4 linked regions of the Saccharomyces cerevisiae S288C genome follow. Changing the gene in region 2 together with the main gene of any one other region gives a genetic interaction. Each region holds a gene or a part of one and is shown on either strand. Other genes may lie near its edges. The genes, in order: BST1, GUP1, ARV1 and ELO3.

What was found.
Region 1: mutations in GUP1 (region 2) and BST1 together harm fitness less than expected from each alone (positive genetic interaction), as found in Saccharomyces cerevisiae (4 studies listed by BioGRID).
Region 3: mutations in GUP1 (region 2) and ARV1 together harm fitness more than expected from each alone (negative genetic interaction), as found in Saccharomyces cerevisiae (4 studies listed by BioGRID).
Region 4: mutations in GUP1 (region 2) and ELO3 together harm fitness less than expected from each alone (positive genetic interaction), as found in Saccharomyces cerevisiae (5 studies listed by BioGRID).

Annotation. Positions count from the first base shown.
Region 1 is NC_001138.5:81,564-90,891, forward strand, and holds BST1 (Bst1p), read right to left. Parts: upstream 5,672-9,328; coding exon 2,582-5,671; downstream 1-2,581. Other genes in the region: GTPase-activating protein GYP8, read right to left, coding at 1-349; alpha-factor pheromone receptor STE2, read left to right, coding at 1,017-2,312; EPL1 (Epl1p), read right to left, coding at 6,284-8,782.
Region 2 is NC_001139.9:346,099-354,287, forward strand, and holds GUP1 (O-acyltransferase), read right to left. Parts: upstream 6,201-8,189; coding exon 4,518-6,200; downstream 1-4,517. Other genes in the region: YGL088W (uncharacterized protein), read left to right, coding at 1-103; E2 ubiquitin-conjugating protein MMS2, read right to left, coding at 308-710, 796-806; coiled-coil domain-containing protein MAD1, read left to right, coding at 1,021-3,270; LCL3 (Lcl3p), read left to right, coding at 3,518-4,342; SCY1 (Scy1p), read left to right, coding at 6,960-8,189. UniProt on the Saccharomyces cerevisiae protein: Membrane-bound O-acyltransferase involved in the remodeling of glycosylphosphatidylinositol (GPI) anchors. Acts only on GPI-anchored proteins, but not on free GPI lipids.
Region 3 is NC_001144.5:620,720-627,716, reverse strand, and holds ARV1 (sterol homeostasis protein ARV1), read left to right. Parts: upstream 1-3,833; coding exon 3,834-4,799; downstream 4,800-6,997. Other genes in the region: palmitoyltransferase ERF2, read right to left, coding at 1-599; CDD1 (cytidine deaminase), read left to right, coding at 787-1,215; methionine aminopeptidase MAP1, read left to right, coding at 1,386-2,549; putative signal sequence-binding GTPase GPN3, read right to left, coding at 2,696-3,514; CSC1 (Csc1p), read right to left, coding at 4,896-6,997. UniProt on the Saccharomyces cerevisiae protein: Mediator of sterol homeostasis involved in sterol uptake, trafficking and distribution into membranes. Also regulates the sphingolipid metabolism. Required for growth during anaerobiosis and sterol uptake.
Region 4 is NC_001144.5:863,272-870,409, forward strand, and holds ELO3 (fatty acid elongase ELO3), read left to right. Parts: upstream 1-4,082; coding exon 4,083-5,120; downstream 5,121-7,138. Other genes in the region: Rho family guanine nucleotide exchange factor ROM2, read left to right, coding at 1-3,513; VID22 (Vid22p), read right to left, coding at 5,391-7,138.

The sequences.
Region 1 (9,328 bases), on a different chromosome or scaffold from region 2:
CAAAAGACCTTTCTGCATCCAATATCACCTGACCTTCATCTTTATGTTTTTCCACTGGTGTAATGTACTCTGTTGCATCATCAATAAGCAACTGGGACGCCAATAATTCATACCAACAATCTTTTCTTAATGAGTTGTTTACAAACCCCAGAGGCCCTAAACCTATGTACCTCAAAGCTCGGACATCTTTTTTCTCTAATAACTTTGATATAACTTTTCCTTTTTGTTCTTCTGCCTTTCCACTGTCACAACGAGAAAGTGATTCCAGATATGCGTTATAACCTCCCCTTGTCAACGCGTCTTTGTCGTGGCTACTCTGATTAGTATGAAATAATGACCTTAATGGCATCGTATTTTGTTAATTGGCTTGTTCTATGTCATTTGCTAAATTTTCTCTTTATTTCTTTACTTTGCCAATTCAAGATAATCTTCCCTTCCCAGAGAGAAAAAAGGAAAAATTTAGCTATGAAACCTCAATAAGCTTTTTAATACACCAAAGATTCAAGATAAGAGCATAGAACGAACTGTAGAATAGTCCGGATATGTTATCCAATGCCTGCCAAAATGCATTGTCACACGCTGTAGTGCTCGAATAGGTGTTGCAATCCGTCAATATACGTCTTGCTCTGTGGGTAAATGTCTCGTGCATTAAGACAGGCTAGTATAAACGAGAAGAAGTATCCTGCTTTGCAATGAAACAATAGTATCCGCTAAGAATTTAAGCAGGCCAACGTCCATACTGCTTAGGACCTGTGCCTGGCAAGTCGCAGATTGAAGTTTTTTCAACCATGTAAATTTCCTAATTGGGTAAGTACATGATGAAACACATATGAAGAAAAAAGCTTTCCTACATATTCAAGATTTTTTTCTGTGGGTGGAATACTATTTAAGGAGTGCTATTAGTATCTTATTTGACTTCAAAGCAATACGATACCTTTTCTTTTCACCTGCTCTGGCTATAATTATAATTGGTTACTTAAAAATGCACCGTTAAGAACCATATCCAAGAATCAAAAATGTCTGATGCGGCTCCTTCATTGAGCAATCTATTTTATGATCCAACGTATAATCCTGGTCAAAGCACCATTAACTACACTTCCATATATGGGAATGGATCTACCATCACTTTCGATGAGTTGCAAGGTTTAGTTAACAGTACTGTTACTCAGGCCATTATGTTTGGTGTCAGATGTGGTGCAGCTGCTTTGACTTTGATTGTCATGTGGATGACATCGAGAAGCAGAAAAACGCCGATTTTCATTATCAACCAAGTTTCATTGTTTTTAATCATTTTGCATTCTGCACTCTATTTTAAATATTTACTGTCTAATTACTCTTCAGTGACTTACGCTCTCACCGGATTTCCTCAGTTCATCAGTAGAGGTGACGTTCATGTTTATGGTGCTACAAATATAATTCAAGTCCTTCTTGTGGCTTCTATTGAGACTTCACTGGTGTTTCAGATAAAAGTTATTTTCACAGGCGACAACTTCAAAAGGATAGGTTTGATGCTGACGTCGATATCTTTCACTTTAGGGATTGCTACAGTTACCATGTATTTTGTAAGCGCTGTTAAAGGTATGATTGTGACTTATAATGATGTTAGTGCCACCCAAGATAAATACTTCAATGCATCCACAATTTTACTTGCATCCTCAATAAACTTTATGTCATTTGTCCTGGTAGTTAAATTGATTTTAGCTATTAGATCAAGAAGATTCCTTGGTCTCAAGCAGTTCGATAGTTTCCATATTTTACTCATAATGTCATGTCAATCTTTGTTGGTTCCATCGATAATATTCATCCTCGCATACAGTTTGAAACCAAACCAGGGAACAGATGTCTTGACTACTGTTGCAACATTACTTGCTGTATTGTCTTTACCATTATCATCAATGTGGGCCACGGCTGCTAATAATGCATCCAAAACAAACACAATTACTTCAGACTTTACAACATCCACAGATAGGTTTTATCCAGGCACGCTGTCTAGCTTTCAAACTGATAGTATCAACAACGATGCTAAAAGCAGTCTCAGAAGTAGATTATATGACCTATATCCTAGAAGGAAGGAAACAACATCGGATAAACATTCGGAAAGAACTTTTGTTTCTGAGACTGCAGATGATATAGAGAAAAATCAGTTTTATCAGTTGCCCACACCTACGAGTTCAAAAAATACTAGGATAGGACCGTTTGCTGATGCAAGTTACAAAGAGGGAGAAGTTGAACCCGTCGACATGTACACTCCCGATACGGCAGCTGATGAGGAAGCCAGAAAGTTCTGGACTGAAGATAATAATAATTTATGATCAAAATTTACGGCTTTGAAAAAGTAATTTCGTGACCTTCGGTATAAGGTTACTACTAGATTCAGGTGCTCATCAGATGCACCACATTCTCTATAAAAAAAAATGGTATCTTTCTTATTTGATAATATTTAAACTCCTTTACATAATAAACATCTCGTAAGTAGTGGTAGAAACCACCTTTGCTTTTACGAGTTCAAGCTTTTTTCTTGCCATGATCTAGAACTCTCAGGCAATATATACAGTTAATCTTTTTTTACTGGGTTGTAGTTCTAATGTATTGTTTCGAAAAATAGCAACCAGGCACATATTATGTTCACCAAGTGGTGTATCCAGTACAGATTTCTTATTCCATAAATGAAACTGAAAACGGTTAAGTACACAAATAAAATGATGGTAACTTTACCATCCCACGTGTCTAAAGGTACGCTGTTTGGCATTTTGAAAATAGAATTATTTCCAACCAAAAAAATAATTGGTGCCACTGCTAGTATATTGTGATGGGATCTAAATGAAGTTTCCCATTTGATGGCAACATTATGCAGGAAAACAATAATGATAGGGATGTTAATGGCACTAACAAATAATAAAAGCAGAAGCAACGTCATATTATAATTTAGTAAGTTCAATTTCTGCTCGTTGTTTGATAGTTTCAACAGCGCTACTCTAATGCAGGTAGCAATTTGGATTACTAATGAGATAACAAACGCCATCTGGTATGGTATGTGAAAAAATACCAACAGTAATAAAAGCACAGATGCCATTAATCTTCCCTTACCATACGCTTTATGTTCAATAGTATCAAAAGCCTCTTTATCTTCAGTGTTTTTCTTTGATAACTTCCGTTGAAGGAATATTACTAAAATTTCCAAGGATCCAAAAATCTTAGAAACTAGTGCTAGTAATCCAACTGTCATAACCCCAAAGAGAATTCCAATAGTTGACATAAACCAATCTCTGATCCCCAAATAATAAAAATTTGCATGCATGTTTCTCTCGGATAGCAGAAATGGATAATTTAAACCGACAGGATCCAATAAATAAAGTATTCGTTGTACCAACTTATTATTAACCACAGGCGAAGCTAAGAACAGCGTAAAAAACATTAATATTCCGTGCTTTCTTAAAATATATCCCAAAGTGCTATCAAAGGAAGGAAACTCAGATGTCTTGTTGTACCAGTAGAACTGGTATGACAGTACGAGTGCTATAAACGCGACTGGAAAAGATGCTAGTGCTAATCTGTACCTGATAAACAGCATTTTCAAAGTTAAAGACCAATTAATAGTCATTTTAGCTTCTAAGGACATTCCGGGTGGAATAAAAAAACTTAATTGTAGCGATCTCGGTTCGCTTTCATTTAATGGGATAAACGGTGCTACATTATGCATATTTATATCGAGACTTTTGTTTATAATATTTAGATGCCATTTAGACTCGAAAGGTTCGTAAACCCATTGCCTTATGAAAGGCTGAAACAATGTCTCTTCGGAAGCAATACCTTCGTTGCTTGCCTCAATCTTGGTTTCTAATTTGTACGATAATAAAGAATCCCACAAATTACTGAAACTTATAACCTGCTCGATGTCTTTGCCATCCAAGTGTAGTTGTTCTCCAAAGAGCAATATTTGAGAAGGTGTAGTATTGACTATTTGTACATTGGAGACGTTGCGCAGTAATGCCAAAAGAAACCCCTGATTGTCCTCCATGCCTTCTTGTTCTGAAAATTCACCGTAAGTGGGTTTGCTTATCATCAAGTAGTCGTACTTCTGTAGTATATTCTTGCCAACACTAACGGCTTTAAACGGATTTTTTGCTTCTCCAAAAGAAGAATCAGCTGCGAACTGAGTATCTTTTGAAGACCTGGGCACTGTTAGAATACTATCAACAGCTGTTATACAGCTTAGATTCACCCTGGACTCTGTACAGAAATAGATCATAGGCATATCGAGACTAGTTAATAATGTGAAATGCAGGTGTTCAGTGGAGGAGATGTTACTCGGAATATTTATTTTTGTATAATTGTTGTGCCACTTTTCCAGGTTAAACATTTCAAAATCTAGGACATCGTTCATTTCCAAAGTAGCGTAATCAGAAAAGAAGTTGTCACTAAATTCTTGTAAGTTTTCTTGAGGATAATTTAACTTACTATTCATCCATGAGTAGTCTTCAAACCCTGAAAGCAATAGTTTTCTAGCGATTTGCAATCTCTGATTCAATGGCTTAACTTTTTCAGGTTTGGAGGCATCTATACTTTCCAATAAAAGGCGCGCTAGTACCTCTCTTAATTGCTTGCACCAAACAATGGCTAAATGATCAATTGGAGTCCAAACATCTGGAATAGTAGTTGTGAAGCTGGTGAACCCATTTTCTAAGCTAACCAAATCTTCTACAGATGCATAATCTGCAGGTAAAGTAGTATCCAATATACCGCCTGTAATGGAAACCAATGAAATGTTCTTAGAGAAAAAAGAATCGTTTTGGGATAACTGCTTTCTCCAATATTCGTTTGTATTTTTGTAAAGCTTTAAAATGTCACCATCAAAGGTTACTGGTGAAGCAGCATGAGGTGATGATAAGGTCAATATGGTGCTTATACTTCCCGGTACGTGGTTCTTCAAAGTTAGCATGACCCTGGATACAATACCGCCCATGGAATGTCCCACGATAATAACTGACTGCGGTTTTGGATGTGGGTAATCAGGGGTCCTTTCGTAAAGAGACAAGATGTACTTAATGGCATCATTTAGGTATTCAGCTTGATCAAGCATTGTTTCACCATGAAACGCAGTGAAATCTTCATTGAAATCTGCCGTAAAGAAGTCCAAATTTCGCACATTTTCGTTACGCAGAGTCGCCCTGGTATTGGAATCAAAATATATATTGGAGCAAGCGGAAGCAATCGATCTGCATTGCCTAAAAGAACCTGCATTTCCGGGTATAAAAAGTACAGGGATACCATCAAGTTGTAACTCATCACCATTTAAAGGTTCTCGGTCTACGCTTTGTTCTCGATACAAGTAAAGATGATACTTGTGTGCCAGTGGTGTATACCTCTCGTCAAATCCATCGATCCTTGCGTAAGATGGAAACATATAGATAGATTCACACTGAGGAGCATCTGCACCATTAAAAGGTTTCAGTAGCGATATCAATAAAAGCGAGCAAATGCTTAAAATGCCAAGAATAGAGAAAAGGCGATATGTGTAAGGTTTTTTTGCTATCTTATCATTGTTCATATATTTGGGGGAAGCTTTATCCTGGTCTTCACGCGTAGCGAGTACTCTCGAGTATTGACCAGATGAGTTAACTTTATTAATTATGGGCCGCGTTATAACACTAACTAATCTCCTGATACCCATAACGAAATGAAGATTTTTGTATGATGGTAAGCCTAAGATATAGGCCAATGCTTTAAAGTAGAGGGAGTATTTCGAGTGTGAATTTACTATCAGATGGAACTGCAAGGAATGTGTTGAGACTCATTTTTACTTTTTCTTGTTATGACTTGGTTGGTATATTTAGACCTTTTTCAAAATTCGCGCCATACAGGAAAAAAAAATGGATAATAAGAAGAAATGCATTTATTTGAGGGTACCTAGTGAGTTATGCAATTGTCTATATAAGAGTATGAATCTAACTTAAATACATCAAGCATTTGGGATGAAATCATGCGAAAAATCAAAAGGTCACAACCGTGTGAAATGGAAATTAAAAAAAACGTTAAAAATATGTAGTCTTGTGAAGGTGATAATATTACAGCCGGATGATACTTGCTATTTTTCTTTTGAAATTTATTGTAGTTATCTTTTTTTGTTTTTTGTTTTTTTTCATTATTATTGCGTTATCGGTGTTCATTTCGGTGATTTGAATCTTCAGTAATGTTGCCTCGACTTTCGTAGTAAACTTTGAATGTCAGGTTTGTTAAATGCCAATGCGTAGAAAGATGTTCGAGAGGTACAAAGTTGTGCTGCTCATGATGAATTTTTCTGGGTTATAGAAGAGTTCTGTTTCGCTTCTGAATTGATTAACGAATCATTTAATTTTTTTAGGGAGTTCGAAGAATTTGAATTATTGTTCTGTGATTTCTGCTTTTGTTGTTGTGCTTGCTGCTGTTGCTGCTGCTGCTGTTGTTGTTGCTGTTGTAAATGTTGTATATGCTTTTGTTTCAGTCTGGTGATATAGTCCCTACGATACTTTATGGTGGCTTCCCTTAATTGTTCGTAGGACTTCGTACCCAACATTGTTCCGAATCTAATCACCTGAGTATCATTTGAAATCTGGTTAAGTCTTGCCGGTTCATCTGAAAACTTGATCCCATATTCATTTTGTGGAGAATCATACTTCCACTTGTCGTAAAGTCTGACAAATTCGTCGTATTTGGAATCGTAAACATTAATCGAGTCAGTATCGTTACTACCTTCTCTTGAATATTGTTCTTTTTCGATTGAATCGAAATCTACAAAATCCATTAAAGAACATGCAGACTTGGTCGACGATGTTGTAAAATTTGGCATACGATCAACATACTTAATATTAGATCTACCAACTCTCTTCCTGAATTTTATTGGATACTCTCTCGAATGAATTTCCAAATTTTCTTGGAATGGGTCGTACAGTTCAGTTTTTTTGATTCTTTTGGTATCCAAGTTGTAATTATCTTTGTTTCTCGAACGGCCATTTGAATCATATATTCTGATGTCATCAGATATCCCCTTCAAGTATTCTGGTAAATGTGAAGAATAAAAAGATCTATCTATCTGAAACTTGGATGACGCGATAGATGCAAAGGGAACATTACTAGTCGAAAAATTTTTAGGCAACGACATGTCAAATACAGGATTAAAGGGATCGTCCGTTAAGTTGAAAAAGACATCTGCGTCTTCAATTTTCCGTTTCTCCATCTTTTCCTGAACGAACTTTCTTGCATTTTTTTCTTTGCTGTTCAATAGAGCATCCACGTCTTCCAATACAATGTCAGGAATTTTGGAAGATGGTAGTTTGACATAAACATGAGACGTAATTGGCTGTGATGTTGAAGAAGAGGATGCATTCGCGAGTTGCTTTCCGTTTTCAGTCTTAAGGGCATTTTGCTGTTGTTGTTGTTGTTGCTGTAACAGTTGCTGCTGTTGCTGCTTGGTGAGCCTAGAAGATTTGTCTTCAAGTTGGTTATTCCTTTTATTGTTCTTTGCCTTCGCTGCCGCTGCTGCAGCAGCTGCTCTCTTAAGTTCAGCTTTCCTTAGTTCAGCTTCCCTTTGTTCGACCGTAACAATCGTGGGGCGTTTTCTCTTGTGGTTAATCAAGTCATCGTCTTCTCCACTAATGTTCAAAGATCTTTTCAAATTCTTAATTTTTACCCTTTGATCGAATATTTTTAATTCATCATTAATCCAATTTAGGGAAACGTTCTCACGTTTAGCAACAAGCAGGGCCAAGTCCTTCGCGTTTTTCAATTCTTGATGCAACGCCCTTAAACGCTGACTGTTTAAGATATCTATACGTCTTGTTTTCCGCGGATGTCTCACTTCTCTTCTTCTGAAACAGACGTAGGGATCAATCTCTTCTTTTTCACCCGGCCTTTCAAATTTCAGCTGCGGAAAAATTTCGTACCCGTTAACTTCAATTTTTCTTTCTCTCCAATAATCATAAATTTTAGAGCCGAACTTCTCTATCAGCTGAATTAAAGGTCTCGTATTCATTTGAGATACGGGGTCGAATTGTGTGATAAAATGTGTTTTATGAGAATTTATTTCATGATTCAGCTGGTTTCTTAGATTGAAATCAGCCATATCTGATTTTATTAATGTGGGCTTCAATTCTTCAAAAGAAAGTATACTTTCCGGATCCATACTCAAGAATGGTTGACGCTCGTGAATAGCATGTTCAAAACTGGAACAAAGTATTTCAAATTCGTCTTCAGTTAAAATGTCTGATGAACCTTTGTTGACTTGTTCATTTAAAAAGGTCTCATCTCTTTCATCCATATTGTAGTTGGTACCACAGCAATCCTCCACAGTGGCAGAAAATTTGATGTAGCTGGTGGTCTCCTGGAAACTGCCCGTATAAAACTTATCATATTCATTCCAAGTCATAGAAGCATCCGGGGTCGGAATATAGTCTTTGTGCTTTGTATGACCAGAACCCATTTGTAATATTCGATGCAAATGGACCTCCTTTTCTTCATTTTTTTCTACACCAGTTTCGATCTCAACCACCTCTCTCTGTTGCAATTCATCTTTATCCAGGTGTTTCAGATCGTTAGGCAGATATATCTTAAGATGTTGCTTCACAGATATTTTTCGATGTCTAAATCGACTATTACTGCTACCAGCACTGGCTCCAGCACCTGAATCGCCTTTTGAGAATGAATCTAGACCGTCATCGTGCGCACTCCTAGATCCAGACCGCCTAGTGCTTCTACCAGATTTATGCGAACCGTCATTGATCTCTATAGCGTTTGAAGGTGTCGGCATCGTTATTATCGTTATTTGCTAATGTTATTACAATGTTTTTATAAGCACGTGACTATAATGTTACCCTATCGTGTGCAATTTTTATTTATGTTGACCTGAAGTCCGCAGTTGCCGTACAATGTGAGAATATGGACAAAAGGAAGGCGAGGGTGGCAAAAAGAGGAGTCAAAAATAGATAGCGTTTATTTTATTATAGCAGCTCAGAGGAACGCGATGTGGTGTAATAATATTGCGAGTGTCTAATGACCACCAGAATACGAGCACAGTTTTGGCTGATTTTTGCAAACTTTTTTGCTTTTGTGTAGTAACCTCTCACAGGTATTGCTTGTATGCTATACCATGTGATATGTAATAGTACAATTTTGTGGTCGGATCGTGCTTTTGCCACCCGCGGCCGACGGAGAAAATTTTTTTCCTCTATCCCTTTGTTTCTCGCTTACTCCTGCGGTATGGGGTGCTAACTATGGTGAGCGAGTATGGGAAGAAGTAGCGATATACGGGTAACCCTAATGTTTGGGTGTTTTGAAATTTATCCTTGGAGGATAG
Region 2 (8,189 bases):
TTGGCTTGGACTGGAGAACAAATTTATCGATCTTGGGTGCAACAGTCTTTCTGTCGTCTGTTTTTTAGCAGATCTAAGGGTTTACCTTCGTGTGCCCGGATGAGGACCGTTGCAAGGATTGATAATACAACTATATACATCATTATCGTAGTGAATTGCACGAGTAACTTCTCGGCATGGGGTGAGTAAATTCATATTATGAAAGTAATTAAACTTACTACCTAAATAAGAGGATATCTATGTCTTATTGCTTGTATATATGAGTGGCTTGGAATGCTGCAAATACTGTTTAGGAAAAAGTAGATAACTAAAAGGTTTCTCCTTCCTTCGGTTGACGCAATTTCTTGTTCGCTGGGGTTGCCATTTCCTTTCTAAGATCAAGTAATAAAGTTTCCATGGTGTAGGCTCTTTTCCAGTCACGTAAGGTGTGGAAGTCAGTTTGGACCTCCCCCGTAGTTGGATTGACGCATGGTAGATTTATCTTGGAAATGAAAGTGACCTTTGGGGGAGAATCTGGATAGTTTGGGCCACAATCTATAGAAAGGGAATAGATTCTGTTTTCATGATTACTATGAGGGGGCCCTAAAATAGTGCCGTTCCATTTGGTCATGGTAATATCGTCGCTATCAGCTAAACCATAACTACATGATTCTGGACCAAACCCTTTTTCACCCTTTTCTAATTCTTCTAACAACCTAAAATTTCTTGGTCTGATTTACAATAGGACAGTGAGGGTACATTTCAAGAATTTGTTAGTATATGTTGAAATCCCTTTCAAAACTTATAATAACATACACTTTTGACATTTTTGTGTAAACGCTGCTTTCTTCTACGTTGCATATACAGAATAAGAATTTCACCACGACATCGAAATGTAATGAGCAGAGATTGTGTAGGAAGTTGATCTTATTTTAGTCTCTTATTTATCGCTAAAGGAGCAATGAAAATTGATAGCGTGTTACCCTAGGAATAATTCCTAACAATTTTTTCCATCTTAAAATCGAGAGGTAATAGTAAATAATGGATGTGAGAGCGGCATTGCAATGTTTCTTCAGTGCATTGAGTGGACGATTCACTGGAAAAAAATTGGGACTAGAGATCTATTCTATCCAGTACAAAATGAGCAATAGTGGTGGGTCCTCTCCTTTCTTGGAAAGCCCTGGAGGTTCGCCCGACGTAGGCAGTACAAATGGACAAAGTAATCGTCAGATTCAGGCGTTACAATTCAAGCTCAATACTCTACAAAATGAGTATGAGATTGAAAAATTGCAGCTACAAAAACAGACGAATATCTTAGAAAAGAAATATAAGGCCACGATTGACGAATTAGAGAAAGCATTGAATGATACAAAATATCTTTATGAAAGCAATGATAAATTGGAGCAAGAGTTAAAGAGTTTGAAAGAAAGATCAGCTAATTCGATGAATGATAAAGACAAATGCATAGAGGAATTGCGAACAACCCTCCAAAACAAAGATTTAGAAATGGAGACTTTAAGGCAGCAGTATGATTCGAAGTTATCAAAGGTCACTAACCAATGTGACCATTTCAAGTTGGAAGCAGAGAGCTCTCATTCGCTACTGATGAAATATGAGAAAGAAATAAAGAGGCAAAGTGTGGATATCAAAGATTTGCAGCATCAAGTGATGGAAAAGGATGATGAATTATCTTCGGTAAAAGCATCTAAGATGATAAACTCACATCCAAACTACTCCACCGAAGAGTTCAACGAGCTCACTGAAATGAACAAAATGATCCAAGACCAAGTTCAGTATACTAAAGAATTGGAACTAGCGAACATGCAACAAGCCAATGAATTGAAAAAACTTAAACAATCCCAGGACACTTCTACTTTTTGGAAATTAGAAAATGAAAAACTACAAAACAAATTAAGTCAATTACACGTACTCGAAAGTCAATATGAAAATCTTCAATTGGAAAACATAGATCTAAAATCGAAATTAACCAAATGGGAAATTTATAATGATAGTGACGATGATGATGATAACAATGTTAACAACAATGATAATAATAATAATAATAAAAATGATAATAATAATGATAATAATAATGATACAAGTAATAACAACAATATTAATAATAACAACAGAACCAAAAATAACATAAGAAATAACCCTGAAGAGATTATCCGGGACTGGAAACTTACCAAAAAGGAATGTTTAATTTTGACAGATATGAATGATAAGTTAAGATTGGACAATAACAATTTAAAGCTACTGAATGATGAAATGGCTTTAGAGAGAAACCAAATACTAGATTTGAACAAGAATTATGAAAACAACATAGTAAATTTGAAAAGATTAAATCACGAGTTAGAACAACAGAAGAGTTTATCTTTCGAAGAATGTCGATTACTGCGCGAACAATTAGATGGCCTATATTCCGCACAAAATAATGCTTTACTAGAGGTCGAAAATAGTGAAACACATGCGTCAAACAAGAACGTAAACGAAGATATGAATAATTTGATCGATACTTATAAAAATAAGACAGAAGATTTAACAAACGAACTAAAGAAGCTAAACGATCAGTTATTATCAAATTCCAATGATGTAGAAACACAAAGAAAAAAGAGGAAGTTGACAAGTGACCAAATTGGTTTAAATTATTCACAGAGGCTCAACGAATTGCAACTGGAAAATGTAAGTGTCTCGAGGGAGTTGAGTAAAGCACAAACTACAATTCAGCTACTACAAGAAAAATTAGAAAAGTTAACTAAACTAAAGGAGAAAAAAATACGTATACTGCAATTACGTGACGGCCCCTTCATAAAAGATCAATTTATCAAGAAAAACAAATTACTTCTTCTAGAAAAGGAAAATGCAGATTTACTTAACGAATTGAAAAAGAATAATCCAGCAGTGGAAACAGTACCCATTTCTGTTTATGATTCACTAAATTTCGAGTTGAAACAGTTCGAACAGGAAGTTTTTAAGTCAAATAAAAGATTTTCCAGACTAAAGCAAGTTTTCAATAATAAATCTTTGGAGTTTATTGACGTTGTAAACTCATTATTAGGTTTTAAATTGGAATTTCAACAAGATAGTCGTGTGAAAATATTTTCCTGTTTCAAACCTGAAAAATATTTGATTGCTGATCTAAATGAAAACACTTTGAAATCTAACCTTGATGCAGATATAGAAGGATGGGATGATCTCATGAATCTATGGGTGGAAGATAGAGGTCAACTTCCGTGCTTTTTGGCAACAATAACATTGCGTCTGTGGGAACAGCGACAAGCCAAATAAGTGTATATACATTTCTAATAGATAATAGTAATCGGTTTTATAATATGATAAACTCCTATCCGCTGACATAATTGTTGGTCACAAAATTCTTTTATCTTTCTTCATCATTGACCTTTTATGATTCCTTTGGTATGCAAAAAAAAAAAAATTGTGTTGAAGAATAAAAACAAATTACAGAATAAGTCACACATGATATAAAAAGAAGCCCAGTTTTTCATAGCTATTAAGGGGGCATAAATGCACTTATATGAGGGAAGGTGATTCTAATTCAAAAAAATCTGCGGATGTTGCTGTCCTCTCCATCATCCTTACGGGTTCGACCTTAACATTGATCTACACATATAAAAGGTATTTAACTCAATTCAAAAGAACAAATGATATACCGCGAAGAATATTTCGTAAACACTGGCTTTATGGTAAAGTCACGTCTGTAGGTGACGGGGACAACTTTCATTTCTTTCACATGCCAGGTGGTATAAGAGGTGGATGGGGATGGTTACGACCCGTCCCACAAATGATCAAGAATGATTCTACGGCAGAAAAGCTTGTTGGAGATAGCAGAAATATGAGGTTTTTCAATTTCAATTGGATTACGCATGGGAGGTCCACCAAAAGTAAAATACAAAAAGCTAAAAGCCAGTTCTTGAAGCTAAATGTACCTTACAAAAATAGGAAAAACCTGCCAACTATTCCTATAAGATTATGTGGAATCGATGCCCCAGAAAGAGCACATTTCGGTAACCCAGCTCAACCGTTTGGTAATGAAGCTTTAATTTGGTTACAAAACCGAATTTTGGGAAAGAAAGTATGGGTCAAGCCTTTATCTATAGATCAGTACAACCGTTGTGTAGCTCGAGTGTCATACTGGGACTGGTTTGGTGGGTGGAAAGACTTAAGCTTAGAAATGCTCAAGGATGGATTAGCGGTTGTTTATGAGGGTAAAGTAAACACAGAATTTGATGATAGAGAAGATAAGTATCGATATTATGAATTTTTGGCAAGATCTAGAAAAAAGGGACTGTGGATCCAGAATAAATTTGAAACGCCTGGTGAATATAAAAAACGTATTTGAGTTTTCGAGAGGATTTTTATCCATCATACTGCAGATTTTCATATTATATGTTCATTAGCTTTTCACGCTTCCTCTCGATATTTTTTTATTTATTTTCGGTTTCATTTTTGTACTAGTAGATAAAAATACATACATGATAGCAGTGTTATACAATTGATATTCGTAAATTTGGCATTCAGCATTTTAGGTAAATTCCGTGCCTCTTTTCTTCTTCTCTGATTTCAAACATTATTTGTACTGCGATGAATAAACTAACGCTTGCCAAAATTACAAATTTGAAACCAGATACGGTACAGAACATATCGCTTAGTAATTTTTTAGTACCGTCAGAGCCCAAGCAGAATCCAAAAAGATTAGCGATCATCATAACCCATATGTTGAAAACAGCACCGACAGCGCAAACGTGTCTGTACCAGACTGCGTCGGTATAATGAGAGAAAATTTGGGTAGCAAAAATTTCTGGTAAGAGGAACAAAACTATTAGCCAACCCCATAATAATAACTTTAGTTCGATGTCATGCCATATAGCTACGAAGGAAAAGACTGCTAGTGATGTCAAAACTCTATTTTTTGAACCACCTAGAGGAATATATATGTAACGGACAACCCACTTATTGTAGCTTCTATGCCAAGCTCTCCAGAATGCTAGTGAACTGTAATTGTTATCAACACACCTGATCATATTTTCAGGTGTATCGATTCCGTCTAGCAAAGCCCACAGCCTAAACAGCCTCCACGGAATCAGTAGTTTTAGCCAAATAATATTCAAATTAAATAAGCCAATCATGGAAATCTGGAAAGGTGTGTCATTTTCCCACGCTTTGGTTTTTGAGATTGCCACAACGTGGAGAAAGTGTAAAATGAACTCCATAGATAAGAGAGCAATAACGAATCTCACCGCATAGTAAAAAATGAATTTGAAATTTATTGATGGCAAGGTATGTTTCGATTGGTAAACATAATCATTGAATGTTATAATGGGGCCGGCAATGAAAAGTGGCGTGTAAGTAACATATGCAATATAATTCATTAAGCTGTAGTCCTGTATGGGGTGTGCAGCAGTTAATCTAGCACGTTCATTGAGCAAAATGGCTGATTTAGCTTCTTTTGATTCATAGGATGGACTTTTCTTCTTTTGTAAATTCTCCCACCTCTCTAAGAAGTCCAAGTTGTAACTTAAGACTCTCAAAAGAGTAAAATTGAAAAAGACATCCCATCTTGGAATGATACCTCTATACCAATGGTCCAATGGGCTTAAAAAAGAGCAAATATTACCAAATGGATATGCTCTGAAGTTGTCGTTAATAAAAAGCGTAGAAATACCATAAATCCAAATGCTGATGGTGGCTATTCTTCTAAAGTTCTTTAGTACATGGGCGATGGCATATAAAATTAGCATATGGGCTAAAATTCTTATCGAATTGACACCATGAGCGGCCACTAAAAAGATCAAACCAAATATCAGATCAAACCTCAATTTAGTGATATTTGTTGAATAAAGTACAATGCGTTTTATAGAAGTGTGGACTAGCATTAAAACTGACAATAGCGCAAAATTGTCCCTGAAAAACCTATATTGAGAATCACTATTGTCTACTTTTCTGCCAAATAACCAACCTTGAGATAGGAGACGTTCGTATCTTGCATAGTTTGGATTTTCGGGCGAACTAGCTTGTAACCCAGCATAGAACATCAAGGGAACCACGACCAGAAATGCAATGTAGTAGAATTTGAACTCAGTAGTTTTCCATAGTGATGGCTTAGTGGTAGTAGAGGCATCCTTTTTTGGTGAAGGTTTGATTCTTGAATCTAAGCCCTCGGAAGTAATTAGGGGAGACAGGATGCTGATCAGCGACATTTCTTGCAATTGTCTGTTAACAAATGCTGATTCACGCTTTGTTTTTGCCTTTGTATGATTAACATCTATATATCGAAAGCAATATGCTAAGTTATTATTCTTACCCTTTCAGTGTCCTTTTTGGCACACCCACTAAACATAAAGAGAAATACGTGAACACCTATACACCCTATATTATTTTGATTGTTCAACATTGCTTGATTCATCATCCATTCTCCAGCTCTCGAATCTTGTTTCTGGCTTTTCCAAGATTATGTGAAAATTAACTTACTCTTTTTGGTCGATAAATAATTACAAGTTCAAGTGCATGTCTAATTGGAAACTTATTTTTATGTCCGATTGAGCTGATGTTCAGCTAGTTTATGTTTATACAAGAAAAATGCTCACCCGTACATATGCTCCTTCTTCACTCATTTTCTTGTCCTGTTGTTGAGACATTCAACTTTGATCCTGCTCTTGTACTTTTATGATTCATTACTTATATATTGGTCTTCATTATTCTCGAGATGAAATTCTCAGGGTCTTTTAAAAAAAAAGTTTCAGTAGGAAAACTAAACGTAATTAAACTATTCTTCGGTTCGAACCTGAAGTTGCGTGAAAAAAAGGGTACTGCAGTCTTGAAAAAATAGAAGCCAAAAAGAAGTTAATATCAAAACAAATAAATCTTGCACATATTAAAGCGCACAAAAGTATTCAAAACAGTGTAACTTCGAATATCGTATCATTAAGGAAAATAGGACACACTTTGATTGAGCAGGGATGATGTTTTGGTCCTCAAAGACGGGTATCACGTCAAAATATTCATTTTCATCATCACCTACTTTCACAGCTGAACCATGGAGCATTTACACCGGTCGTCCCAAATCTTCATCTTCATCTTCACCTTCCAAAGTATCGATATTCATGTTTGACAAGAAGCAGTTCGAAAACTATTTGTTACACTATGGTATTATTAAATCCAAATCTGGATCCAGAGATAAAGTATTAATACAAGAAGCGTACGAAATATTAAGAAACCAGGCCAATAACTTGGCCAAGCTCAAGCACCCAAATATTCTGACTTTAATTGAACCATTAGAAGAACATAGCAAGAATTTCATGTTCGTCACCGAGTTTGTCACTAGCTCATTGGAGACCGTTTTCAGAGAAACCGATGATGAAGAGCAGAATTTCTTACAAGGTCATGTTAAAGATAATATCGTGGTACAGCGAGGTATATTGCAACTGGTAAATGCACTCGATTTTGTTCATAACCGCGCAAGCTTTGTACACTTGAACATTCAACCTAGGGCAATATTTATCAATGAAAATTCTGATTGGAAAATTTCCGGCTTAGGCTATTTAGTAAAAATACCACCAGGCACAAATACCTCTGAATACTTCTTACCTCAATATGATCCCAGAGTTCCCCCATTTATGCATTTACAATTGAATTATACGGCCCCAGAAATTGTTTTTGAGAATACCCTAACCTTTAAGAACGATTATTTTTCTTTAGGATTGTTGATATATTTTCTGTACACTGGTAAAGACTTGTTTCGCAGCGAAAATTCGACTAGTGAATATAAATTGGAGTACAACAAGTTTGAAAGCAAAATTAGTACAATGTCATGGGATAATATATTCAGTAAGGTTCCACAAAAGTTGAGGCATTGTATACCCAAGCTAATAAACAGAGACATCTATTCCAGATATGATAACATAACGTTGATTTTAGATTCTGAGTTTTTCCAAGATCCGTTAGTCAAAACCTTGAATTTTTTAGACGATTTACCTACCAAAAATAACGAAGAAAAATACGTATTCTTAGAGGGTCTCGTGAATCTGCTGCCAGAGTTTCCGCCAGCATTATTGCAAAAGAAGTTCTTGCCCATTTTATTGGAACTATTAAGTCAGTTTTGTGCTGAGAAGGTCGTAAGTGATAAATGTGTGGGTAAAAGTTTGGATTTGATAATCAAGATAGGGTCCACTTTATCTCAGTTGTCCTTT
Region 3 (6,997 bases), on a different chromosome or scaffold from region 2:
TCATGAACCATTACGCAGACGTTACATGTGGAACAGTGAGAAGACCGAGGTGGTCTCCATATCCTACATGATGGACAATACTTGATAGTAATGTCTTTTGAAATTGAAGAATGTGTTGGTAGTGTTATCAAGTTGTAATATTCTTGCGGGATCTGATAATTATTTCTTAGTTGACTTAAATGAATATTTCTCGGAAGAACGCCAGGATCACTAGTGGCTGTTCTGATAAAGGATGCTAGCGTTATGACCCAAAAATAATAGAAGAAAATGACCAGCACTTTATAACCATTTTGGGTATGCCACAATTTGTGAGCCTCAAATATGGAGAAGAGAACCATGGGACATACAATAGCAAGGAGAACACCTAACCACAACGGTTTGGCGCCCTTTACTGTCCTGAACCTGCCACCAAGGAAGAATATATAATTCGAGACATTCGGTAACGATATATAACCTTTTCCATCGTTTATATCCTGATCACCCTCCAAGGTAACAAGCCATCGGAAGAACAACTTCGTCAATGAACCTTCTCCTGTATGCTCTTCCTTTGTTATTGAGGTGCTTTCCGATCTTGTCGACCTTCTAGAGACCAAGGCCATTATCTTCCCCGTTTCTCTTCTTGTTACCTTACGCTTTCTTTCCTTTACATTTTTATATTTGCAAACTGTAATCTTGATAAGGCGCTGCTCGCCAATTTCCGAGTAGTTTGACAAAATAAACACAAACTGTTTATGTACAAGAAACTAGGAAAACCAAACAGAGAATCTCAAGCAGAGAAATAAGGTAATGAAAGTAGGTGGCATAGAAGACAGACAACTGGAAGCCTTAAAAAGGGCGGCACTGAAGGCGTGTGAACTCTCCTATAGCCCCTATTCTCACTTCCGTGTCGGTTGTTCCATATTAACAAATAACGATGTTATCTTCACTGGTGCTAATGTCGAGAATGCAAGCTACAGTAATTGTATATGTGCAGAACGATCTGCTATGATACAAGTTCTAATGGCAGGCCATCGCTCAGGATGGAAATGCATGGTCATTTGTGGCGATTCTGAGGACCAGTGTGTTTCCCCTTGCGGCGTTTGCAGGCAGTTTATCAATGAATTTGTGGTCAAGGACTTTCCAATAGTCATGCTTAATTCCACAGGTTCTCGTTCTAAAGTCATGACAATGGGAGAACTGCTGCCCATGGCTTTTGGTCCATCTCATTTAAACTAGCAGCAATCTTTATTTGGCTGCTCCCCGAAAAGAAAGCGAAAATTTTTTACTTATTTTTTTTTTTTTTCATTTTTCATATAAAGAAGAAAAACTGATATTATTATTATTCATCCCAAGAACGCTATTGTGTATATTCCTAGCAAGAAAAAAATAAGCAAAAAAATTGTATAATGAGCACTGCAACTACAACAGTTACTACCTCCGATCAGGCTTCTCATCCTACCAAGATATATTGCTCCGGTTTGCAATGTGGTAGAGAAACTTCGTCCCAAATGAAATGCCCTGTTTGTCTAAAACAAGGCATCGTTTCCATTTTCTGCGACACAAGCTGTTATGAAAACAACTACAAAGCTCACAAAGCTTTGCACAATGCTAAGGACGGCTTGGAAGGTGCTTATGATCCTTTCCCAAAATTCAAATATTCTGGTAAAGTGAAGGCTTCATATCCACTTACCCCAAGAAGGTATGTCCCTGAAGATATTCCTAAACCGGACTGGGCCGCTAATGGGCTACCAGTCAGTGAACAAAGAAATGATAGACTTAACAACATCCCTATATACAAGAAAGATCAAATTAAGAAGATTAGAAAGGCATGTATGTTGGGTAGAGAAGTTCTTGATATTGCCGCTGCCCATGTCAGACCAGGCATCACTACAGATGAATTAGATGAAATCGTCCACAATGAAACAATTAAGAGAGGTGCCTACCCTTCCCCTCTTAATTATTACAACTTTCCTAAATCGCTTTGTACCTCTGTCAATGAAGTTATTTGTCACGGTGTGCCCGATAAAACTGTCTTGAAGGAAGGTGATATTGTCAATTTAGATGTTTCCTTATACTACCAAGGTTATCATGCAGACTTGAATGAGACATATTATGTCGGCGAAAACATTTCTAAGGAAGCTCTTAATACTACTGAGACCTCAAGAGAATGTTTGAAACTAGCCATTAAAATGTGTAAGCCAGGTACCACCTTCCAAGAGTTAGGTGATCATATTGAAAAACACGCTACCGAAAATAAGTGCAGTGTAGTAAGAACTTATTGTGGACATGGTGTTGGTGAATTTTTCCATTGTTCCCCAAATATTCCCCACTACGCCAAGAATAGAACACCTGGTGTTATGAAACCAGGTATGGTTTTCACCATCGAACCTATGATTAATGAAGGTACTTGGAAGGATATGACCTGGCCTGATGACTGGACTTCTACCACCCAAGACGGTAAACTGAGTGCTCAATTTGAACATACACTGTTGGTTACCGAACATGGTGTTGAAATCCTAACAGCCAGGAATAAGAAATCACCAGGTGGCCCAAGACAGAGAATTAAATAGATCTAGGTATTTTTATCTTATACATATAGAAACCAATAAAAAACTTGAACTTGTACTTTCCCGAGTCCGAATTGGTTATTATGAGAAGCTATTTTTTTTTTTTACCTCTTTTTATATGAATCAAGCGTACATAATTTTCTCTATAACTATTCTTCGACATCTATTTGGTCGTTAGGCTCTTTCTGTTCTTGTCCTTCTGCCCATTGTGTTATATCATCGACATACGATAATATGGTTTCTATACTGTCAGGATTATTAGATTCCAAAGGTAAAAATTGAACCATACCGAAATCATCGACGAGGTTGGCTATGCACTGGTTCAGTCTTAGAAATTTAGGGTTGGATGCTTGATTCATTCCTTCCGTTTCCATTAATAACATTGCATCGGGATTCAAAAATCTTTTCAGTTTTTTCTTATTGATGTCGCCTTTTATCAAGTCTAGTTTGCTCAACACATTGATATGGGGTAGTTCCAATAGAATCATCGCAGACATAGCAGATAGTGCACCGCTAAAAAATTTTGAGCTATCTATCACAAATGGCGCTTCCAAAAGATATGTGGCGCAAAGGTTGAAATTCAGTTGTTGAGTTAAATGGCGCACTATGTTCGGTAAGACAGGGATATGCGTGTAGAGTTCAATTTGACCGGGACAGTCAAAGATTAAATATTCATCGTTGAAATCCCCGATCTCTTCGTCAAGCCAGTCTAGATTTTTCAAAAGATATTCGAAGCAATATATTAGCGCACCATTGGGGCCCAAATCCATTTCTTCCATGACATCATCTAAGGAAATTAAATCTCTAATGTCAATAGTAAATTCATACTTGGTAGCTTCTGCGGCAGGGTCTAAATTTACAATATGAGCTCTTCGTCCTACAGTTTGCATATGTGATATAATGGAATTACAAAATGTGCTTTTCCCCGCACCTGCAGGTCCTAATACCATGACACCAACGCGAGACATTTTCCAATGCTGATTACTCTATTTGTACTTGTTAAGTTTTTTTCACGATCAGGATGACTTGCCAACCTCTTAATTATTGATCTTTCTTTTTTGATCTTTCACCTCATCATTTTAGATTTTTTGCAAAATTTTTCTTAGTATTTTTTCAGTTTAGGGACAGCGGGCCAAATTGAATAGCCCTATGTGAACAATTGATGATTCAGAAACATCAATGGCATAAATCAAGCTGAGAAATTCTTGTCATTGCATAGAAGGAAGGTTTGGTGCGTCAGTGAACGGATGAAGCGCATCAAAAAGTAGATATTAGCTGTGATAAACGATGATTTGCATAACGTGCATGCGGCCCGTAGATTCCCTTTATACAGTGTACTCGAATGACCACATTCAGCTGACAGATTGTCCATATTGCCAAGAGACAGTAGACAAATATGTTGAGATAGATAATGTCCTGTTATTCATTGATTTGCTTCTATTAAAAGCAGGTGCATATAGACACTTGGTATTCAATGCTTTGGAATTGCATCTCTCAAAATATCCGAAAAGAAAAGCGCTAAATGATTGCCAGTGTTTGCGTGACTATACGCAAGCTTTGTTATTTAACGTAAAGAACTGGTTTTGTAAATATGACCGGTTAAATCGCCTTTGGCTTCTACTATTATCATTCGAGATTTATTTAACTTGGGTTACTGAGGAGAGTAAATACATCTACTATTTGAACCGTAACAATAATGATGGTAAGCTCATCATGCTTTCAAAAAAATTACCAGAGAGCTTCAAATGGGACTCGGCAATCATGCGCAATACCATTACAAGTAAAGTGTTTACCTGGAGCCCACCAATACAATATCTTTACTTTGCAAGTTATTGTATTCTTGACGTTTCTTTATTCCACACCTTTACCCAGTATTTCATACTGAAAAAGTTGCATTGGAAGCACTATTCCGTTTCTTCAAAGGATGTCATATCATATACGATCTTATTATCGTACGGTGCCAAAATTTTTCCGATATTGATGTTGATATGGCCTTATGATACTCTAATTTCGATGAGTATCATTAAGTGGGTAGCTAATCTCTATATTATTGAATCGTTGAAGATTGTAACTAATCTTTCCTATTGGAATATCATAAAGATTTTTATAAGTGTGTCTTTATTACGATATTTCATGGTTAAGCCAATACTTATAGTTTTCGTGGCAAAGTTTAACTTTTCAGTTATTAAGAATTTAATACATCAGGAGTTTATACTACTACTACAGAAGTCAGGAACTTATTTATTGTTATAAGCAAATAAAAAAATATCCAGTATTACTTGTATCAAAAATCTTATTTTGGCATTTTCACAACAAAATATATAAATATAGAAATAGCACCTTGGGATTTCAATCCAACATCGGACCCTCTAATTCACTCACAGCGTAAGGGTATGCATACGACTCTTCCTCATTGGCAGAATTCACCGTAGAATTGTCTCTTTCGTACTCGCGAATTGAACTCAATGCGATATATTTTGACAACGGCAAATAGTTCTTCTCGAAATCATATAGGAAACATAATGTCACTACTGGAAGCGGGAAAAGGCAAGATGACAAAACCCATCCTCCTTCGAATCCTGCCAGTGTTCCTGTCATTGTTAATTGAAACAATAGCAATCCAACGATGATTCTTCTAAAAATTAATGGCCATACTTTTCCTGTAGAATGGGGCAAATGATCTGTGGCAAAAATCAATTGATATTTATAGACGTAAAACCCAATAATAAAGTACGCCAGCCCTGAAGTCAAAATTTTCGTGCTCATTACACTGTAGATCAACGTTATAATCAAAATCAGAATTGGCTGTGGTAATTGTAGTCCAAAGTTAAATATCGGTGGATTGTAAAGTTCATTCCGTTGCCTAGGTGTCTTAGCCTTGATTTTCACTAGAGGAAAGCCGATCAAACTACCAACTAATAACAACTTAAACGGGAACATACCAATACCTTGCAATATAATCAAATCGACATAGAATAAGGAGAACTCCTTCACAGATGTAGCAAGTTGATAAGCAATTTTGGTGGTATCGCTGAGGTACGCCCAGTAATTAGATGCTGTACCTGCCAATGTGAAAACTAAGAAAAGGTTGACAAAAATATAAAAGAAATTTTTTGAAACAAGTGAGATTTCCTCTTCGCTGTATGATACCAATCCTTGATAAGAAGTCAAATACTCGTAAAAATAGGGGATTCCAAAGTTAAGCAATGTGAAGAGATAGGTTGGTAATAGCCCCGTTACAATGTTAGCGGCCCACTGGTGATCTTTTAGTAGCTGCCCTACGCTTGGCCAGAATTTCGAAAGTGTTTTCAAATTTAGCAATGTGGCTAAGTATGATACAGGAATGACTAAAAACAAACTTGAAAGGCCTATAAATACGGTAGTAGAATAAACTTTTGTTAACCGGTCCTTTCTAGAAAGACAAACATGATCCCACTTGATATCGTGAGGTGCAGGAGCCAATCTGGTTATGAAGTAATGTACTCTAGGATCTAATACCGCCTGAGCTGCCATTTGCGCATTAGCAACAGAATCCATCGTAACGAATGCCGTAGGTGTTGCGGAGTAGTGTTGTTTCCTCGCTTCAATAATTTCAGCATCAATAAATTTTAATTGCTGCTCCAGGTACTCTATGGCATCTACTTCCTTCCCAAAGATACCACGATATCCAATTTTCATTTTTGGTCTCTCTCCAAGAGAAATTTGAGAATATAGTATAGTATCCTCGTCATTATTATTGCTTGATGGAACATTTTCTCCATGTGTAACTGCGCCTGATTGCTCGTTTCCCAATAAATGATAGTTCTCCGAATATGGTTGTCGAGTACGGAGCTCCCTTGGACATTCTGAATATTTTAATTCCAGGTTTTTGAGTATTTTCTTCCGACAATGAAATAGCTTGTTCAAAGGACCCCACTCTCGACAAATAGTGATTGATGAAACGGTGCCGATTTTTAATTGTTCAATTCTGGTCTTTAAGGCTTCCGAATCACGAAGCTCTATCGGGATGCCTGAGAGCCTTATCGTTCTATCAGTAATCGTATTTTGCTTCCCAAGATAAGCTTGCCTAGTACTTACGACGTGCTTTGTTTCCGCAACTGCCATTTTAATTGCTATGAAGGTGAAGAAATATGTGAAGAGAACATACATCCAGAGGTACACATTTGTACGTTCGGGAGCTGAATGATTGTCACCATCGCCACTTCCCTCCACAATTCTTTTTACCAGATGTATTAAAGAACTTTCACTGTCATCATCATCGTTGCCGTCATCAATTTTTCCAGTAAAATGATATCTTACTGGAGATATAACGCACACAGAGAAGAAACAAAAAATAGAAAGTAATTTGATGCACATTTTGAAAAAACTCAAAAACACATACGCATCTAAACCTGCATATTCCAGAATCTGTTCGTCCCGTATCTTATACAACACTGTTAACCAGCCGAATA
Region 4 (7,138 bases), on a different chromosome or scaffold from region 2:
GTGCCTAAGAGGAAACCTTCGCTCCCGCAACTAGCACTTGCTGGTCTTAAGAAGCAGAGCAGTTTTTCCACCGGCAGTGCATCAACCACTCCTACACAGGCTAGAAAATCGCCTTTGCAAGGGTTTGGTTTCTTTTCGAGACCAAGTTCCAAAGACTTGCACGAACAGCACCAACATCACCAGCATATTCAGCATAATAATATTAACAATCATAATAATAATAATACTAATAATAATGGCGCACATTATCAAGTGGGTAGTAGTAACAGTAATTACCCTCAACATTCACATTCTATATCATCTAGATCGATGTCGTTGAACTCATCTACTCTAAAAAATATTGCATCATCTTTTCAATCGAAGACTTCTAACAGCAGGAAAGCTACGCAAAAATATGATATAACTTCCAACCCATTCTCAGATCCTCATCATCATCATCATCATCATCACTCTTCAAACAGTCACAGTAGCCTAAATAATGTCCACGGGTCTGGAAACTCCTCAAGTGTTATGGGAAGCTCGTCTAATATTGGGTTGGGTCTTAAAACGAGAGTTTCTTCCACCTCATTAGCTTTAAAAAGATACACTTCGGTTTCAGGAACTTCTCTATCTTCTCCACGTAGAAGTAGTATGACACCTTTGTCGGCATCTAGACCTGTTATGAGCGCTTCATCAAAAAAACCTCAGGTATATCCAGCTTTGTTGTCAAGAGTCGCCACAAAATTTAAAAGTTCGATACAACTCGGGGAACATAAGAAGGATGGATTAGTTTACCGTGACGCATTTACAGGGCAGCAGGCAGTCGATGTCATCTGTGCTATCATTAGAACTTCTGATAGAAACTTAGCCTTGTTATTTGGTAGATCACTAGATGCACAAAAGCTGTTCCATGATGTGGTATACGAGCACAGGTTAAGAGATTCACCACATGAAGTTTACGAATTTACAGATAACTCAAGATTTACAGGAACAGGTTCCACAAACGCCCATGATCCACTGATGCTACTCCCAAACTCATCATCTTTTAATTCCGGGAACCACTCTTATCCGAATTCCGGAATGGTTCCATCAAGTTCAACTTCATCTTTGAATAGTGATCAGGCAACTTTGACAGGGTCGAGGCTACATATGAGTAGTTCATTGTCCCAGCAAAAGAACCCTGCAGCCATTCATAACGTCAATGGTGTGTTTACATTACTGGCGGAATGCTATTCCCCTACGTGCACAAGAGACGCTTTGTGTTACTCTATTTCGTGTCCAAGACGTCTTGAGCAACAAGCAAGGTTAAATCTGAAACCAAATGGCGGCCTGAAACGTAATATATCAATGGCATTGGATGATGATGACGAAGAAAAGCCATCTTGGACAAGTTCCGTATCTAAAGAGGATTGGGAAAACTTACCAAAAAAGGAAATAAAAAGACAAGAGGCTATTTATGAAGTTTATATCACGGAGAAGAACTTTGTAAAATCATTAGAAATTACAAGAGACACATTCATGAAGACTTTGGCTGAAACAAATATTATTTCAGCAGATATTAGAAAAAATTTCATCAAGCATGTTTTTGCACATATAAACGATATCTATTCAGTGAATAGACGTTTTTTGAAGGCTTTAACTGATAGGCAAAGAAGTTCACCAGTTGTGAGAGGAATTGGGGACATTGTTTTAAGATTCATTCCATTTTTTGAACCATTTGTTTCATATGTCGCTTCAAGACCATATGCGAAGTACTTGATTGAAACCCAAAGATCAGTCAATCCCTATTTTGCTAGATTTGATGACGATATGATGAGCTCCTCCTTACGTCATGGTATTGATTCGTTTTTATCTCAAGGTGTTTCAAGACCAGGTCGATATATGCTATTGGTCAAAGAAATCATGAAATCTACTGACCCCGAGAAGGACAAAAGTGATTATGAAGATTTAAGCAAAGCCATGGATGCATTAAGGGATTTTATGAAAAGGATTGATCAAGCAAGTGGTGCTGCACAAGATAGACATGATGTAAAATTGTTGAAACAAAAGATTCTTTTCAAAAACGAATACGTTAATTTAGGATTAAATGACGAAAGGAGAAAAATTAAACATGAAGGTATACTATCACGGAAGGAGTTGTCAAAATCGGACGGAACAGTTGTTGGTGACATACAATTTTATCTTCTAGATAATATGCTCTTATTTTTAAAGGCCAAAGCAGTTAATAAATGGCACCAGCATAAGGTATTCCAAAGGCCCATTCCATTGCCATTGTTATTTGCATGTCCAGGTGAAGATATGCCTGCGTTGAGGAAATATATTGGAGACCACCCAGATTGTTCAGGAACTGTAATTCAACCAGAATACAACACGAGTAATCCTAAAAACGCAATAACTTTCTTATACTACGGTGCCAAGCAGAGATATCAAGTTACATTATATGCTGCGCAATACGCTGGATTGCAAACGCTTTTGGAAAAAATAAAGCAAGGACAAGCAGCTATTATAAGCAAAACGGAGATGTTCAATGTAACGAAAATGAGCGATAGGTTCTTCGATTACACCAACAAAATTAACAGTGTTACTTCCTGTGATGGGGGTAGAAAACTTCTGATTGCAACGAACTCTGGATTGTATATGAGCAACATTAAAAGACAGCAGAATAAAGATCATAGACATAAAAGCTCTGCTTTTTTTTCAACTCCAATCCAACTAGTACAAAGAAATAATATCACTCAAATTGCTGTATTAGAAGAATTCAAATCAATCATACTTTTAATTGATAAAAAATTATACAGTTGTCCGCTGTCATTAATCGAAGCAGAAGGTAATGGGACATCTTTCTTCAAAAAGCATCACAAGGAACTGATCAATCATGTGAGTTTCTTCGCAGAAGGAGATTGCAATGGTAAGAGATTAATCGTGACTGCACACAGTTCATCGCATTCAATTAAGTACTTCGAGCATGAACATCCATTATTGGCCGAAAAAAATGGTAGTGGTAGCGGTAACAAAAAAAGTCTCAAGAAAAAAATCACCGAGGTTATTTTTGATTCTGAACCTGTCTCTATTTCATTTCTCAAGGCCAACCTATGCATTGGCTGTAAAAAGGGTTTTCAGATCGTTAGCATTTCACAGAATGCTCATGAATCCTTGTTAGATCCGGCCGATACATCATTAGAGTTTGCACTAAGGGATACTTTGAAACCAATGGCAATCTATCGTGTGGGAAATATGTTTTTGCTGTGTTACACAGAATTTGCCTTCTTTGTCAATAATCAGGGTTGGAGAAAGAAAGAATCGCATATTATTCATTGGGAGGGAGAGCCCCAAAAATTTGCAATTTGGTACCCGTACATCTTGGCATTCGACAGCAACTTCATTGAGATCAGAAAGATTGAAACTGGCGAATTAATTCGTTGCGTCCTTGCTGATAAGATTCGACTTCTACAAACAAGTACTCAAGAAATCCTGTACTGCTACGAGGATTATCGCGGGTATGATACAGTTGCGTCGTTAGATTTCTGGGGTTAAGATAGCAACGTATATAGACTTTCCTTATTTTCTTTAGAATAAAAAGCATAACTAAAGTTGTAAAAGGAGCAGAATTATGAATAATAAACATTGATGACAATAGTGGAAAACGACATAAATAATAATTTTATAATATAATAATGATAATTCACCGTCAGAGGGATTTGTATGCAAATGATTGATGACGCGAGAAAAAAAAACGCGAAATTTTTCTTCCCAAAGCTTCGAAGTTTTTATTCCGTCCACAAAGTGAAAAATTTTCAGAAAATTTTCCAGACTGTGAATAAACAAAAGGTTGGCTTACGCATTTGGCTTGTCTTTTTTTTTTTTCACAGGTTCTTAGTAAATAATTGTATAAAATATTTATCTGGAGTCTTCTGTTTGTTGTTTAGCCTTGTTTGAAGTTTTATTTAACTTATTACCCCAGTTAGGTACTGTGTATTTTCCGCATATCTGGTGTCTTTTTATTTGGTCATTGATTGGTTTTTGACAGCTCTTCACTCGCTTCAAGCTTACTTCTAGTTTATTTATTCGGCTTTTTTCCGTTTGTTTACGAAACATAAACAGTCATGAACACTACCACATCTACTGTTATAGCAGCAGTTGCCGACCAGTTCCAGTCTTTGAACTCTTCTTCTTCATGTTTCTTGAAGGTTCATGTTCCTTCCATTGAGAACCCATTCGGTATTGAATTATGGCCAATTTTCTCCAAAGTGTTTGAATACTTTAGTGGCTATCCAGCTGAGCAATTCGAGTTTATTCACAATAAGACTTTCTTGGCTAACGGGTATCATGCTGTTAGTATTATTATCGTTTATTACATTATTATCTTTGGTGGCCAAGCTATCTTACGCGCCTTGAACGCCTCTCCATTAAAGTTTAAATTGCTTTTCGAGATACACAACTTGTTTTTGACTTCTATTTCTCTAGTTTTATGGTTGCTGATGTTAGAACAGTTGGTTCCTATGGTTTATCACAACGGTCTATTCTGGTCTATCTGCTCTAAGGAAGCCTTCGCACCAAAATTAGTTACTCTTTACTATTTGAACTATTTGACCAAATTCGTAGAATTGATTGACACTGTGTTTTTAGTTTTGAGAAGAAAGAAGTTATTGTTTTTGCACACTTACCATCACGGTGCCACCGCTTTGTTGTGCTACACTCAATTAATTGGTCGTACTTCTGTTGAATGGGTAGTTATCCTACTAAACTTGGGTGTTCACGTTATCATGTACTGGTACTACTTCTTGAGTTCATGTGGTATTAGAGTTTGGTGGAAGCAATGGGTCACTAGATTCCAAATTATTCAATTTTTGATTGACTTGGTATTTGTTTACTTTGCTACCTATACATTCTATGCTCACAAATACTTGGACGGTATTTTACCAAACAAGGGTACTTGTTATGGTACTCAGGCTGCTGCTGCTTATGGGTATTTGATTCTAACATCTTATTTGCTTTTGTTTATTTCCTTCTACATCCAATCTTACAAGAAAGGTGGTAAAAAGACAGTCAAGAAGGAATCTGAAGTTTCCGGCTCCGTTGCATCCGGTTCTTCTACTGGTGTCAAGACCTCTAACACCAAGGTCTCTTCCAGGAAAGCTTAAATAGGAAGCGAGAATTTTTGACAGCGAATGAAAAAGAAAAAAATTAAATGTTAACATTTTCTTTATATTAAATATGTACGATAAATGAAATCATTATTATAGAAATGATAGATTATTGGCTTGGTGTTTTTCCCATTTTGATTAATCATTTCCTTAGCTGCCCAAAGAATTGCACGCTTACAGTGAGGAGTAGTGATACATTACAATTATAAAATAAAATTATATAGCAGCTAAAATTTAAAACAAACAGACTTTGTTCCTTTGTATGTCCTATGGAAGATACTGACTTGCAGTTTGTAAAGTGTCCAAGTCGTAATCCACTTTACTTGCCACGAATTGATCATTGAATAATTTAATTTTAATAATCTCTTGAGTTAAATCGGGATGTACTCTGGGAATGAAGTCATTTAAAAATGAGTACTCTCCCCTAATGGAGGAAGATGACTGACATTGCATTATCTTGAACAAAATTCTAATTATCGGCCCAGCATCATTATCTAAGTATTGGGACCAGAACGCGTTACACACAGGAACATGGATATCAAGTAACTCTTCAATGAAGTTCATTGGTTGTTCTAGCTCTCCAATAATAGAGTCCTCTGTTATTATTCTCTTCTTGAAACGGCCACTATCTCTAATGAAATTGCTTTGTTCACAATACGACCTGTAAGATATGGGTACGATGGAGTTTACTGTACTCAAGTAATCATATAAGTCCTCTTGAATGATTTGTAAAAAGATACTATCTATTTCCTTTGATATGGTAGAGTCCGATAAATGATGGGTATCGCTAAGAGAACCAAATGATAGGTTATTATTGCTATTCTGTGGTTGTTGTTCCGGTAATACAGAATTTTCTCCACCAGTAGGATCTATATCTATTCTTGATGCGGGCGTATTTGAATTCGAGTGGTTGTCGTTGTCGTTATCATGTTCGTTATCATTATTGTCGCTGTTGTTGCCGCTTCTATTGTTGATGTTGTTCGTCTGATTATCAGTGTGAATGTTCATGTTGCTATGATTGGAAGTATTATGACTGTTGTTAACGTTGCCTATTGTGTGTAAATTCAAAAACCTTTTCAATAAACTGAAAATTGATGTAGAAAGTTTGTCGACTATTTCAGAAAGTGAAATGGTATGAAAAGAATATTCCAGGACTTCTCTTTCGAATAAAATCGCAGGACACAAGAACATTGCTAAAAGGTTCATATCGTCTGAAAATAAAATGGTTTTGAATTCTTGAATTTTAGACAAAAATGTTTCAAATGGTGCAATTAACCGTTGAAATTGTAGGCTGCCCAAGGTGGACAACAGATGCTTTTCAATAGACATTATGGCGAACAAAACATAGGTAAAGTTTAAGCTTTTGGAAGAAGTAAAGAACTTTAGTATTCTATTGATGGAATTCAAAGTAATTAATAAATAGTCTATTATTTGAAAGTCGATTTCGTTGAATTTTTCAATTTGGATAGAAGATTGATATTCTTCTATTATGGGACGAAGGTTCAAAAAAGTTTGCAGTGAAACGGTGGCGGTAGAGTAACGGGATAAATCGAATTTCGAACAAACGAATTCGAAGCCAAATTTTTCACACAATGAACGGAATTTATCTAACTGCCACGAATTAGATTGTAAATCATCCAAAAAAGAATTGATTCTGGAAAAAATGGAATTCGAAATATCTATATTTGACAAATCAATTAGAGAGTCCAATAAAGTCAAAGGTTCTTTGGAGAATGATGATTGTCTCGGATGCGTAATATCGGCGGATTTAGGCGTACCGAACAATGGCAATATCGCAGAATTTATTATGGAAATAATGCAATTGTGATAATAGTTTTTAGCATTCGTATACGTATTCGGGAAAAAGGGTTGGCTATCCATTACGTTTAGTAGATCTACTATTTGAGATCTTGGTAGAGTGATAGAAATCACAGTATTTTGTAAACCAGGTAATTCTTGTGAGATTTTGAGCAGTTGAGCTGGAATAGATAGTTTGGGGTCATTGTTATATTCAT